Linked DNA regions of Caenorhabditis elegans. The protein of the gene in region 1 purifies or fractionates together with the protein of each later gene. This does not show direct contact. Each region holds a gene or a part of one and is shown in the gene's direction. Other genes may lie near its edges.

Evidence for each region.
Region 2: the proteins of Y54G11A.17 (region 1) and mrps-14 fractionate together in Caenorhabditis elegans (co-fractionation; one large-scale study listed by BioGRID). This does not show direct contact.
Region 3: the proteins of Y54G11A.17 (region 1) and mrps-34 fractionate together in Caenorhabditis elegans (co-fractionation; one large-scale study listed by BioGRID). This does not show direct contact.

The regions. Positions count from the first base shown.
Region 1 is NC_003280.10:14,348,317-14,351,223, reverse strand, and holds Y54G11A.17 (L51_S25_CI-B8 domain-containing protein), read left to right. Parts: upstream 1-1,817; coding exon 1,818-1,982; intron 1,983-2,028; coding exon 2,029-2,238; 3' UTR 2,239-2,338; downstream 2,339-2,907. Other genes in the region: agl-1 (Glycogen debranching enzyme), read left to right, coding at 1-347; elof-1 (Transcription elongation factor 1 homolog), read right to left, coding at 744-882, 932-1,047; Protein lin-7 homolog, read left to right, coding at 2,432-2,632.
Region 2 is NC_003280.10:10,239,741-10,244,422, reverse strand, and holds mrps-14 (Small ribosomal subunit protein uS14m), read left to right. Parts: upstream 1-1,932; coding exon 1,933-2,009; intron 2,010-2,500; coding exon 2,501-2,674; intron 2,675-2,792; coding exon 2,793-2,889; intron 2,890-3,757; coding exon 3,758-4,009; 3' UTR 4,010-4,118; downstream 4,119-4,682. Other genes in the region: nrde-2 (Nuclear exosome regulator NRDE2), read left to right, coding at 1-446, 507-1,084, 1,134-1,237, 1,500-1,614.
Region 3 is NC_003281.10:4,540,773-4,544,061, reverse strand, and holds mrps-34 (Mitochondrial Ribosomal Protein, Small), read left to right. Parts: upstream 1-1,609; 5' UTR 1,610-1,615; coding exon 1,616-1,705; intron 1,706-1,754; coding exon 1,755-1,835; intron 1,836-1,881; coding exon 1,882-2,012; intron 2,013-2,058; coding exon 2,059-2,266; intron 2,267-2,346; coding exon 2,347-2,523; 3' UTR 2,524-2,642; downstream 2,643-3,289. Other genes in the region: M88.3 (RING-type domain-containing protein), read left to right, coding at 1-31, 114-317, 367-439; cisd-3.1 (Iron-binding zinc finger CDGSH type domain-containing protein), read right to left, coding at 669-850, 902-997, 1,043-1,180.

The DNA.
Region 1 (2,907 bases):
CTTACAACGGCTACTACAACAATGATGATGATGGGACTGACAAGAAGACGGCAAAAGGATGGAATTATCATCAGGGCCCTGAATGGCTCTTCGTCGCCGGGTATTATCTCCAAGCTCGGCTGAGAATCGGTGATATCCTCGGAGGATCCGAAAAGCAGTATGCGATCCGGCAAGTCCAGGAGCGACTCGGCAATGCTTACAAGCACATCATTTCATCACCATGGAGGTCACTACCGGAACTGACAAATGCTGATGGAGAATACTGTATGCAGAGTTGTGCTGCCCAGGCGTGGTCCGTCGGTTGCCTGATTGAAGCATGTGTAAAACTTAATACTATCGAGGGATGATATTTTCCTTTTTTTTAGAATTCAGAATATTGCATGTATTTCCTTGTTGCATTTCTAGCTAACTTACCATTTTTGATTTTTAAGTTCAACTTTTTATATAGCTTTGAGCCAAAGAAATTTGAAACAAAATGATGAAAAATAAAGTATTGTACAAAAAATGGTGATGTGCTGATTTGGTTATTTACACACAAAAACGAGCTCGAGGATACCATTCTCGTGAGAATTGAAGGACCGGTTTTCGAGGCGTGCTGCAATGATGATCCAGAAAGTGTGTGGATGAATTGGGGATAGAAGGAAATAGAATTACTGAGAAAAGCAAAGAGATCAACGCGATGGGGATTTTGGAGGCTTATAAGGAGGTCGTATAAGAATTTAAGATTGACGGATGGGGAATATTCAGGCGTTATTTGCCTGCTCACAGGCATCCACCCAATCAGAATAGACGTCGATTGGCTCGGAGAGGTAGTTGATGTTTGTTTGGAAGTCTTCAGAGCAGACACGACACGAGATATAACCGACATTCTTTTCGCGATCCCTGGAAAATTATTACGTTTTTTTTTGAAACGATTTTCCTTAGAAAGTACATTTTCACTTCACAAACGCGTTCATGATTGCAAAACGGACAGTTGAATTGGGTGTCGAGTGGCATTACAGCCTTTGCCTTGGTTGGAGCCTTTCTCTTCGACTTTCGCTTTCCCATTGCTGCGGATTGTTTGGATTGGTTCTGAAAAACAATTATTAAGTTCGGGAAACGTAAAAAGAACAGAATATTTTTGCAGAAGGTAAAAATATGTTCCAATCTCGAAAAAAAAGTTCGAAAATTACATTTAAATTGCAAGAAAATATACTAATATACAAACCACTCAAAAATGCGACACTCAGAAATACTATATTGTTTTTTTCTGTATTCTAAAAACTATAACGTATGCACAATGTGAAAATTTTTCGTGAGTGTCGGCTTGAAATTCCACATTTTTGGACTTCAAATTCACAAAATTTTTTGAATCATCAGGTTTTATATGGAAAATTTACCTATTTTGACACAAAACATAATATTTCTATCATATAAAAACGGCAAAAATCCGGCAAAAAGTAACACGAAAAACAGCCAAAAAAGAAATTTCGAAACAAAATTGGCGCGAGGAAGACAGTTAGATGCGCAGGTTTTCTCGACTACGGTCTGCAGTACACGTTGCGTACTGCGTACAAAAAATGTTGACCGTAGTCTCCAAAACAATTAAGCATTTATCGGACTTTCCGGAGCAGGATTTATTCATTTTATGCTTAAAATTAAACATTTCTCAATATTTTATCAATAAATTAAATGAGAAAATTGTTTAAATCGTTAAAAAGCATTAAATAATGCTGAAAAACGTTAATTTTCAATAAAATATCTTTCTAGTGATGCAATGCAACTCAAAATTATAATTTAACAATTAAAATTATCTAAATTCAAATTTAAATATTCAGATGGGCCTCAAGGGATTCACCGGTAGTTTTCAACAAATTCGCGGACTTCTACGACCACCAAAGAATCTCCCGTTCCGTGGAATTTTCCGGAAAGACGGAGAAGTTGTGCGAAAAGACGATTTGCTGGTGAATCAATTCAAAATGAATTATCATCCAGGGTTAAATGTAAGATTTATTATCAAATATCTTTGATTATTGAGAAGTTATTCAGGTTTACTATGAAAACGATCGCGGAGAACGTCTTCTGCGTGCCCATTGCGACGGAATCGTTCGTATCTCCCAGGAAAAATGCGATCCGGACTATGAAATTGAGGAGATGAAGGGATACGAGTATAGGAAAGACGTGGATTTGTACAAAATGACGTTCAATGTGATTCCGCTGGAATTGTCTCAGAAGCACACGCTGCGACATGAAATTTAAATTTAATTTTTTGTCGATTTTTTTTTTGGTTTTGTTGTGTTTAATAATTTTCTGACGGGCTATGGTCAATTAGAATAGTAAATAATGTTTTTCCGCTCTGGATAGCTTAATTTTGTAATTTTTAATTGGTTTTCTTGCCATTTTTACCTATTTCCGTCCTATTTTTCCCCTCCTTTCCAACCAAATCTTCCAGATGGATAACCCGGATGGTCCGAATTTGGAGCGGGACGTTCAGCGTATTCTAGAGCTCATGGAGCACGTTCAGAAGACTGGAGAGGTCAATAATGCAAAATTGGCATCGCTGCAGCAGGTGCTACAATCCGAATTTTTCGGTGCCGTCCGAGAGGTCTATGAGACTGTTTATGAATCAATTGATGCGGATACAACGCCAGAGGTTCAGTTTTTTTTGATAAAACTGACAAAAATGCCGGAATTGAAATTTCCGGCAAATCGGCATATTGCCGGAATTCAAATTCCTGGAAAATCGGCTTATTGTCGGAATTGATAATTCCGGCAAATTGGCAAACTGTCCGAATTAATACTTCCGCCATATCTGCAAATTGTGGTTTTGCACATTTTTTTTGGAATTTTCAAAATTTAAATTTTAAAAAATTCAAAAAGGCACAGTTTTAAGTGTTTCCGTATAATGAAAATCCCTACAAAAAATTC
Region 2 (4,682 bases), 4.1 Mb from region 1:
GGAAGGCGTCGTAGATGATGTTAAATTCGATGTCATATTGTTAAAGAAAGACAAAGAACGAGTGCAAACAATTCGTGATAAGATTAGGGATATGATTGATATAGCTATCCCCAAATCAACAGAAAAGCTCATTCAGAGCGCTGATTCTTCATTGCCAACGCTTCAATTACATCTTTATGCCAATGTTCTACGTGGAAGACTTTCTATTCTAAATCAAAATGCTTTAGAAGAGACTCGAGATGTTTTCTGTAAAGAGATTCTTGGAATTCACACTTCGGAATTTGAAAGTGATGAAGCTCTCTTATTGGCATTGGATCAAGGATTGAACGAATTGCTGGAGCATTGCAAGGAGAAGGACAATCTTGAATCGGTCGACAGTATACCAGAATTACCAAGAGCTGAGGCACTGTGCGAAGCTTTGAAAGTTGTGGCGGTATTTGTTTTCTGTGAGTTTTATAGTCTTTGAGTCTTTGTAAAAATTAATTGATTATTTTATTAAATTTCAGTGGACAAGATGGCATTCAGCAGGCGTGCAGTCGACTGCCTCATTGCCAACGCGATCACCAAATTCGAGCAATTTGAAGCCAAGAAAAATGATTTCAATCGTGGAACTTATGAAAAATACTGTGATCAGATCGATTTGAAATTCATCACGGACACTCTCATAACCTTCTTTTCGCACAAAAAACACCGTTTCATCTACAATGAAAACTTCAAAAAGTTGATCTTCCAAGCATCGCAAGCGTTCCCATGTGATTCGAAATATGCGAAGATGCTCGGCGAGCTGCATTCCAGCGGTCGTCTGCAAGTGATGAAGCTTCAAGGATTCACCGACAGCAGAAATAGTATTTTGAATGCGAAACGAGATCAGCAATTTGATCCAGAACTTGAAACTCGTCTTCTCATGAACTCGTTGACTATTATGTTCTCTTGGATGAATGCAGCCAACCGGATTGGAGACGCCGGAAATCAAATCCTCTATAAAAATTGGAAACGAGAAGCAGCTAATACACGTGATCCGGCTATCTGGAGACAAGTTATAAGAGTTGCCAGTAAATTGTCACAGAAGATTCTAAAGGACGATGTGAGTTTTCAGGAAAAAAGGTTGTATGTGAAATTTAAATTTCTTACAGGCTTACACTCGTGCAAGAGGTCAATGTACATGGGCTCTCAATTTGCACTTTGATTATATTGAAGCAAAAACTGTCCGCAAGAATGGAGATCTAATGGAGATGATGTAAGTTCAATTATTGAGAGCAAAGTTTCAGTTCAAAAATGTAATTTGTTGTGCCCGATTTTTGAAAATAATCAACTAAGATTGATTTTATTACAATGTTCAAATTATCGAAGTATAATTAATTTAAATCGTATTATTTTTTTTCGATTTCTAGTCTAGTCTATATACAACAATACAATACAAAGCGAATAAATTTTATTAAAACGCTATGCAATTATAATCAGCACACATGCCAATGCATTCTAAATAACACTATTTACAGCTACCTCATTCTCGAACAAAGCATGGGACAAGAGCATAGTTTATTTGTGACCGACGAGGAATACATGAAAACACAGCAGGAAATTGGACTACAGTATTCCGAATCCGGACGTTGATTCTCTCTTTTTTGTGTAACTCGGCCTATAACTTTTTTAAAAATCCATTCCATATAATTATCCACCGGTATTCATTTCATCCCAGGAATCTTTCTTTCTTTTGTTCTTTCTATCCGACAGATTATGTTTATTTTTGTATTATAATTCTTCTGTCTTTTCGCATTTTTTGTTTCGGTAAAAATTTTTTGTTTTCAACAATGAAAATATTCGTTTTAATGTCATATTTCTTTCATCATGAAAGAGGTTACACTTCCTCCAACCAGTTCCTTCCATGCATGAATAATTGTATTAAATATGTATTGCAATGTATGTGCACAGATGTTGAGGGCACTCCGCGGAGCAGCGGACCTACTATCGACGGCTCTTTACAAGAATGAAATGATGATGAGTAGAAGGTGAGTATAGATTTCTCTAATTATTATTTAAACTATGCGAAAATCCTGCTTTTGGCGAAAAATTTTGATGTTTTGCTTTTTTTACACTCGAGAATATTTTAAACTTTCAATTTATAAAATTTGTTTAAGCGAAAATTTTTCGTTGAAAAAAGTGAACCTGCCACAAAATGGAAACGTTTTTAAAAAATTAATTTTTAGAATTTCCCTTTTTTTTCCGAAAACTTACACTTGAAATTAGAAGTAAAATGCAATTATTATTAAAATATTCGAAAATTCTCAACAAAAAAAAACGTTTGAGGCCTGCGAAATTACTCGTATTTTTGACGAAAAGTTCAATTTTTGCTTTTTTATTCGAAAAAAAAACTAAATGGAAAACTTTTTTTTTGGTTTTCAAATTTCAAAATTTGTTATTCGAACTCAATCCTTTTCTCGCGCTGAGAAAACAGGAATTATCGTCTTATGGCTTAATTTAAATGTCCAACAATTTCCAGATATTTATCAACTCCAGCTCCTGAACCTGCAAAACCATCATCTGAAGAGACTACGGAATCCACGGAACCGGCAACATCTGTAGAAGATGCTGGAGAACCTATGAAAGAGAAACGAATCACTCAACCATATTCTAGCGAGGCGCTTACAAAATTGAAACTTGATCAGTATCCATTGTAGGTTTTTGGTTTTTTTTGTATATTTTTGAAATTATTGCCTGCCGCTTTTTTATTCTCAAAGTGAGAAAGAATTGCACATAAACTATACACTTGTATTGAATATACGTTTCTATAGATACGTGGAGAGAGAATGGTGGAAAACCGGAAAACGAATGACATTCTGGGCGAGTTGGCGTCAGTTGAGAGATGTCAAACGACGTGAGCAGATTCAGGTTGGTTTCTATTTTTTATACGAATATTGTCATATGTGCTAAAAATATTTTTGGTTTTTATTTCAAACCAAAAAGGAAAAAAATTGAAATTTGTAAAAGAACCAAAACAAAAAATACCAAAAAATACGAATATTGTCATATGTGCCAAAAAATTTGTTTTAAAGGATTAAAGGATTAAAGGACGATCCGTTCTTCAAGTGCTATGCACTGCGGATCTGGGATTCAGGTACACTGCCTGGTGGTGATCCCTCTGGGCTGTAATTTAAGCCACGTCCTAGCCGGGGACTGTGGCCGATAATCCAGTCGTGGATTGCTCCACTTCCCAATAGAGGCTGGGTGAACCTAGGGGGTGAGGCCGGACTTGAACTCGTGACCTCCAGACTGCTAGCGGCCACCACTACCGACAGAGCTAAAAAACATCAAAAACCATAAGAATATTTACAAAATATAAATTGTTTAAAATACAAAAAAAAAATCGCATTTTTCTTCGTGCCAGAATACCAAAAAACACCAGGGCTGTCACCAAAAAAAATTTTCCATAAACAAAAAAAAGTTTTTCGCTTCTTTTCACATGTCTGAAATTTTTTAAATATTTTTTTTATTCGAAAACCACCAAAAAATCGTTATTGAAAATCATTACTTTTTAAAAAAACAAAACCCCACAAAACAGAAAACCCAAAAAAAAAACCATTTTTTGTGACGAAAAAACCAAAAAATTCCCTTTTTTATTAAAAAAACCCCCACAAACCAAAAAAACCAGAAAAAACCCATTTTTGTAACAAAAAACCCCCGACACCCCCATTTTTGACAAAAAAGCCTTAAACAAGCCCAGGCCTGCTGCTTGCCCTTGATTAAAATTTAATTTCAGGAAGTCGGCGCGGATCGTATGCGTCTAAAAGCTATCAAATTCAACACAATTCTCCCGCAAGCGATTCGTGACGAAGCAGCCGAGAAAATGCAAAAAGCTCGAAAATACGATCATCCTCGTCTGATTCTCAATATGTGCCAGTTCACAGGACGACAACGTGGAAAGATAAAGCCATACAGATTGAGTAGACACTTGTTCCGTCGATTTGCAGATAGATCAGCTCTCAGTGGAGTCCAAAGAGCCATGTGGTAGTGTGAGATAGGAGTTGTAGTTTTAGATTTATTTGTTTTCTATTTTTGATTTCTTCTTCGTTTTGAACACTTCTTTTGTTATCGATGCTCTTAATGAATTATTTTTGTTTTATTGTGATATAGATTATGATATCTCTGTATTGGTTATTGATCAATTAAAATACTTTTTTTTCAGAAAAATTATTATTTTCAGATGTTTTTCTGTCCATCAGTGTGCGAGCGTGCTCCACAGCCCCAATACAATGGGTCTCGTTAGTTAATTGGCGGCAAAAGCCTAAAAATTCAAACGTTTTATTTTTCGGCAATCAAGGATGTCTTCGAAAAATGTCTGCTTCAGAGATTCACTGTTTTGCCTCCAATACCTAACGAGACCCAACTATTGGAGGCGGATCCTGCTCATTTCGCTGCTGAGCGCGCTTTCACATTGATCTCAAAAAACGAATTTTTCTGCGGTGTCGGCTTCAAAAAAAATTTCCAGAGAAATCGCTATTTTTTCGTTTTCCCATTGTTCACAAATTACATTAAAATTTCGGTCAATTTGCTTCCTTTTAGTGAAAAAGTATTTTTTTTCTCTTATCAACAGGCAAAGTTTGATTCAAAAAATTTAAAGTAAAAAAAAGATTTCAAGATTTTCCAGAAAATCGAAAATTTTAATTTTTCGATTTTTAATTTTC
Region 3 (3,289 bases), on another chromosome or scaffold:
TGGAGCAGCTGGATATTCTCGGAGTTCAACAGTGAGTTATCATATTTTTAGGCAAGCCAGGCATGTAGGCAGGCACATGAGCAAACATACCGTGATTCTTTTTATTTTTCCAGCAACGTTGTCGAATTGGAAGTACAATCGACCACAAAAGTCAACAGAGTGATCACTTCGCTTCTTCGCGAATACTTCCAAACGTTGCCACCTGATCAATCGGGAGTACTGTACCACGTGGAATTGGAGCCTGGATGGTCACGTAGAGTTCGAAGAGTTAGGACTAAACAGTACAACTCTCTGGAATTGTACAACTTTTCCAAGGTGTAAGTGAAACTGAATTCGTTTAGTAGATCAAATTTAAATTAATTTCAGCGATGAGTACATTGTGTTTGTGATGGATTTCGGTGCATTTCTCAAAAACGGAGTGAAGATCAATTTTGTGTAGAAGACATGAGAGAATAATGCTTTTTATGAATTGAATAAAGGGTTTCCGTGGGATGGTTTTTTTGTATGAATTTTTTTGCAAGTCATTCAATATAAGGTAATCTGAACATAACCTTCCAAATTAAATACGTCTCATTTCAAAGTCCGAAACTAGTTTAACTTAATTTCCTTAAGCTCTAGGAACACGATTTTTCGCAACTTTTTAACTTTTACAAAAAAACAAATCTTACCGATTATTTGTTTGCTTGCAATTGCATAGCCACACCGTCATGTCCTTATCAGGAATAAATCGTACTGGTTTCAATTTAAGATCGGGAATTCGAATTGAATTGTGGGATCCATCGCAGAGTGGTTGCGATCCACTATATCCACAACTGCACCATGCGTAAACTTTATCCTTTTTCATGTGAACCTATAAAAAAATTAGCTCAGAAGGTAGCATACGAGTAATATATTTGAATACCTTAGTTGGTAGCTTACTATGCACTTTTCCAGTTCCGGGAAGCTCGTGGTTGGTTCCTTGCAGACCGTATTCCTCATTTGGTTTTTTGTCTTGAAGCTAAATATTAATCAATAAATATTTAAAACCTCCGAAATGACTCACAATATGATATTTCAGAACTGGTGGTTCGGTTCCTACAAAATGTGTTCCCTTTCTTTGAAGCCTGTTTGGACCAAATCCGGTTTTCTGACTCTTTTTGATGACTGACAAACAGATTTGAGCCGATTGAGTTATCCGCATTCTGTAAAACTGATAACATTCACACATAACTGAGTTAATGAGTACGAGTGATCATTATAGAAGTGAAATACAATTTAAAAGCAATGTTTGATGAATTTTTAAAAATAACATTTTCTTTAAAACTGTTTTGCACCGAAAATTGTGGCATTTTTGTCATTAATTACATGAAAAAACTGTCTAAAGTTTTATTTAGTTTGGGAAAATGAAATTAAAACATCTAAACACATGCTTAAAATAATTTTAAAGTTGAAAATCTGAATAAATAAAAGGAAGAATATTTCAAGGGGCGGGGCTAAAACGGCTGCACTGCGCCTCATTGCAAGCACGCCGCGCATTTTTTCTATTCTTTTTCTTCTCTTCGAGCATTTAATTTGTTTCTCTAATTTTTTCCTTTTCTTCAAGATTCACAGTCAATTTTAAAAGTTTCAGATAAAAATGTCTTCAAACTTAATCAGATTTGTTGGAAATCATGATATTGCATCGGAAGGAAAGTTTTTGTTCGAGATTCTCTCACAACTCCGCAACGTATGTTATTCTGCTGTTTTCCCCCTTGATTCAATTGTTTTTTTTTCAGTTTGGTGTCGGTCGTCTTGTTACAAAGAATGAATGGACACGGAAATGGCCGAATAATCCGTCATATATGAAGATTTTGAGGGCATTCTTGATTTTTAGCATGAACAAAGATCACTGAAACTTTTCAGGCAGAGCCAGGCATGGACCGATGGTTATTCGAAGGAAAAGTTTATGCTGAATGGGTCTTTCGTGGAAAAAATCTTGGCGTTTATGAGTTTTCAAAGGATTTGAACAGAAGTGACTGGCAGCTGGTACACAAGTAAGCAATTCTTAATTGAGGATTCGAAATTTTCGTTTATTTTCAGACATCAAGAAAAATCATATACATCGAGCACAACACCAATGCAAGATCTTGTTCTTCCCGATTCGTTTCCATTGCCACCACTTCAAGTTCATTTGTCACAGAAAAGTGCTCGCAAAAATGGTTTGGATGAGAAAACTGTGTCAAGACGGGCTCCGCTCACACTTAGTGTCGATCCAGAGTTCCAGCACTTGAAGCCGTTCATCAAACAGGTGGGATTAACTATGTATATGCTGAAATAAAAAACTCCGAAACTCACAAAATTTTATTTTTCAATTTTCAACCATTTCAGGAAGCTCCTTCAACAAAAAGCGTGTCGATCTACGAGGAAGTTGATAAGAATGCACTTTTGGATCTTTACGGAAACGAATTGCCAGTTAAAGTTGAAGCTTGGAATGCAGGACCAGCAATGTTCCAACCACGATTTAATGCCACAACGATGAGAGTTGAAGAGCAACCACCGAAATGATTCTCTTTCAATTTAATTTTTTTTAAATTTAAGTTTTCGATTGTAGCAGTTGTTTTTAGACTTTGTTTTCTTTTTGTTCTGTTTCGTTAGAGTTTTAAAATTAAACTATCATGAACCAAGTCACATTGTTCCAAGACTACAGTGAAGTGAAATTTGTGATAGTTAAAAAAAATGTTAATGATTAATTCAAAAATACAAAAATGTATAAAATATAGATCACAACTTAAAGAGAACGCATTCGTTATAACAGTATGAGTTGAACAAGTTGAATCATTAACAGAAACGAACCAAACATCAGTGGCGAATTTGCGTAAATAAACTCAGGTTTGAATACAGTACTTACTGTGACTAAATAAGTTGCAACAGCGGAGGGAAAATATTACTGACGTTGTGAAAAAGAGAGTTGTGAAAAATGAATACTCATAGTCAGTCCAGAAATCTAATGGTACAACTATGTTTTTTGGTGGCTTTAACTTTAAAAATTGAAATTGCGCGTGGAATTCGGTGCATTTGGAAAATTTGTGCACCCACCGTAACACAATGCATCAGATTTCCTGCGCAACTTTATTCAAGATTATTTGATTATTACACTCCACTAAATATTTAAGATGATATTTCACAATAATTTTTACGTTTTGGATGCACAAACAACACAATGATGTAAAACAGATTGTGATAAGATAAGAGCCTATTTAGAATCAGTACTTTTTTTTCAGAAAAGCACCAAACCATAACTTCCTACAAACCACATTTCTGATTTATAAAT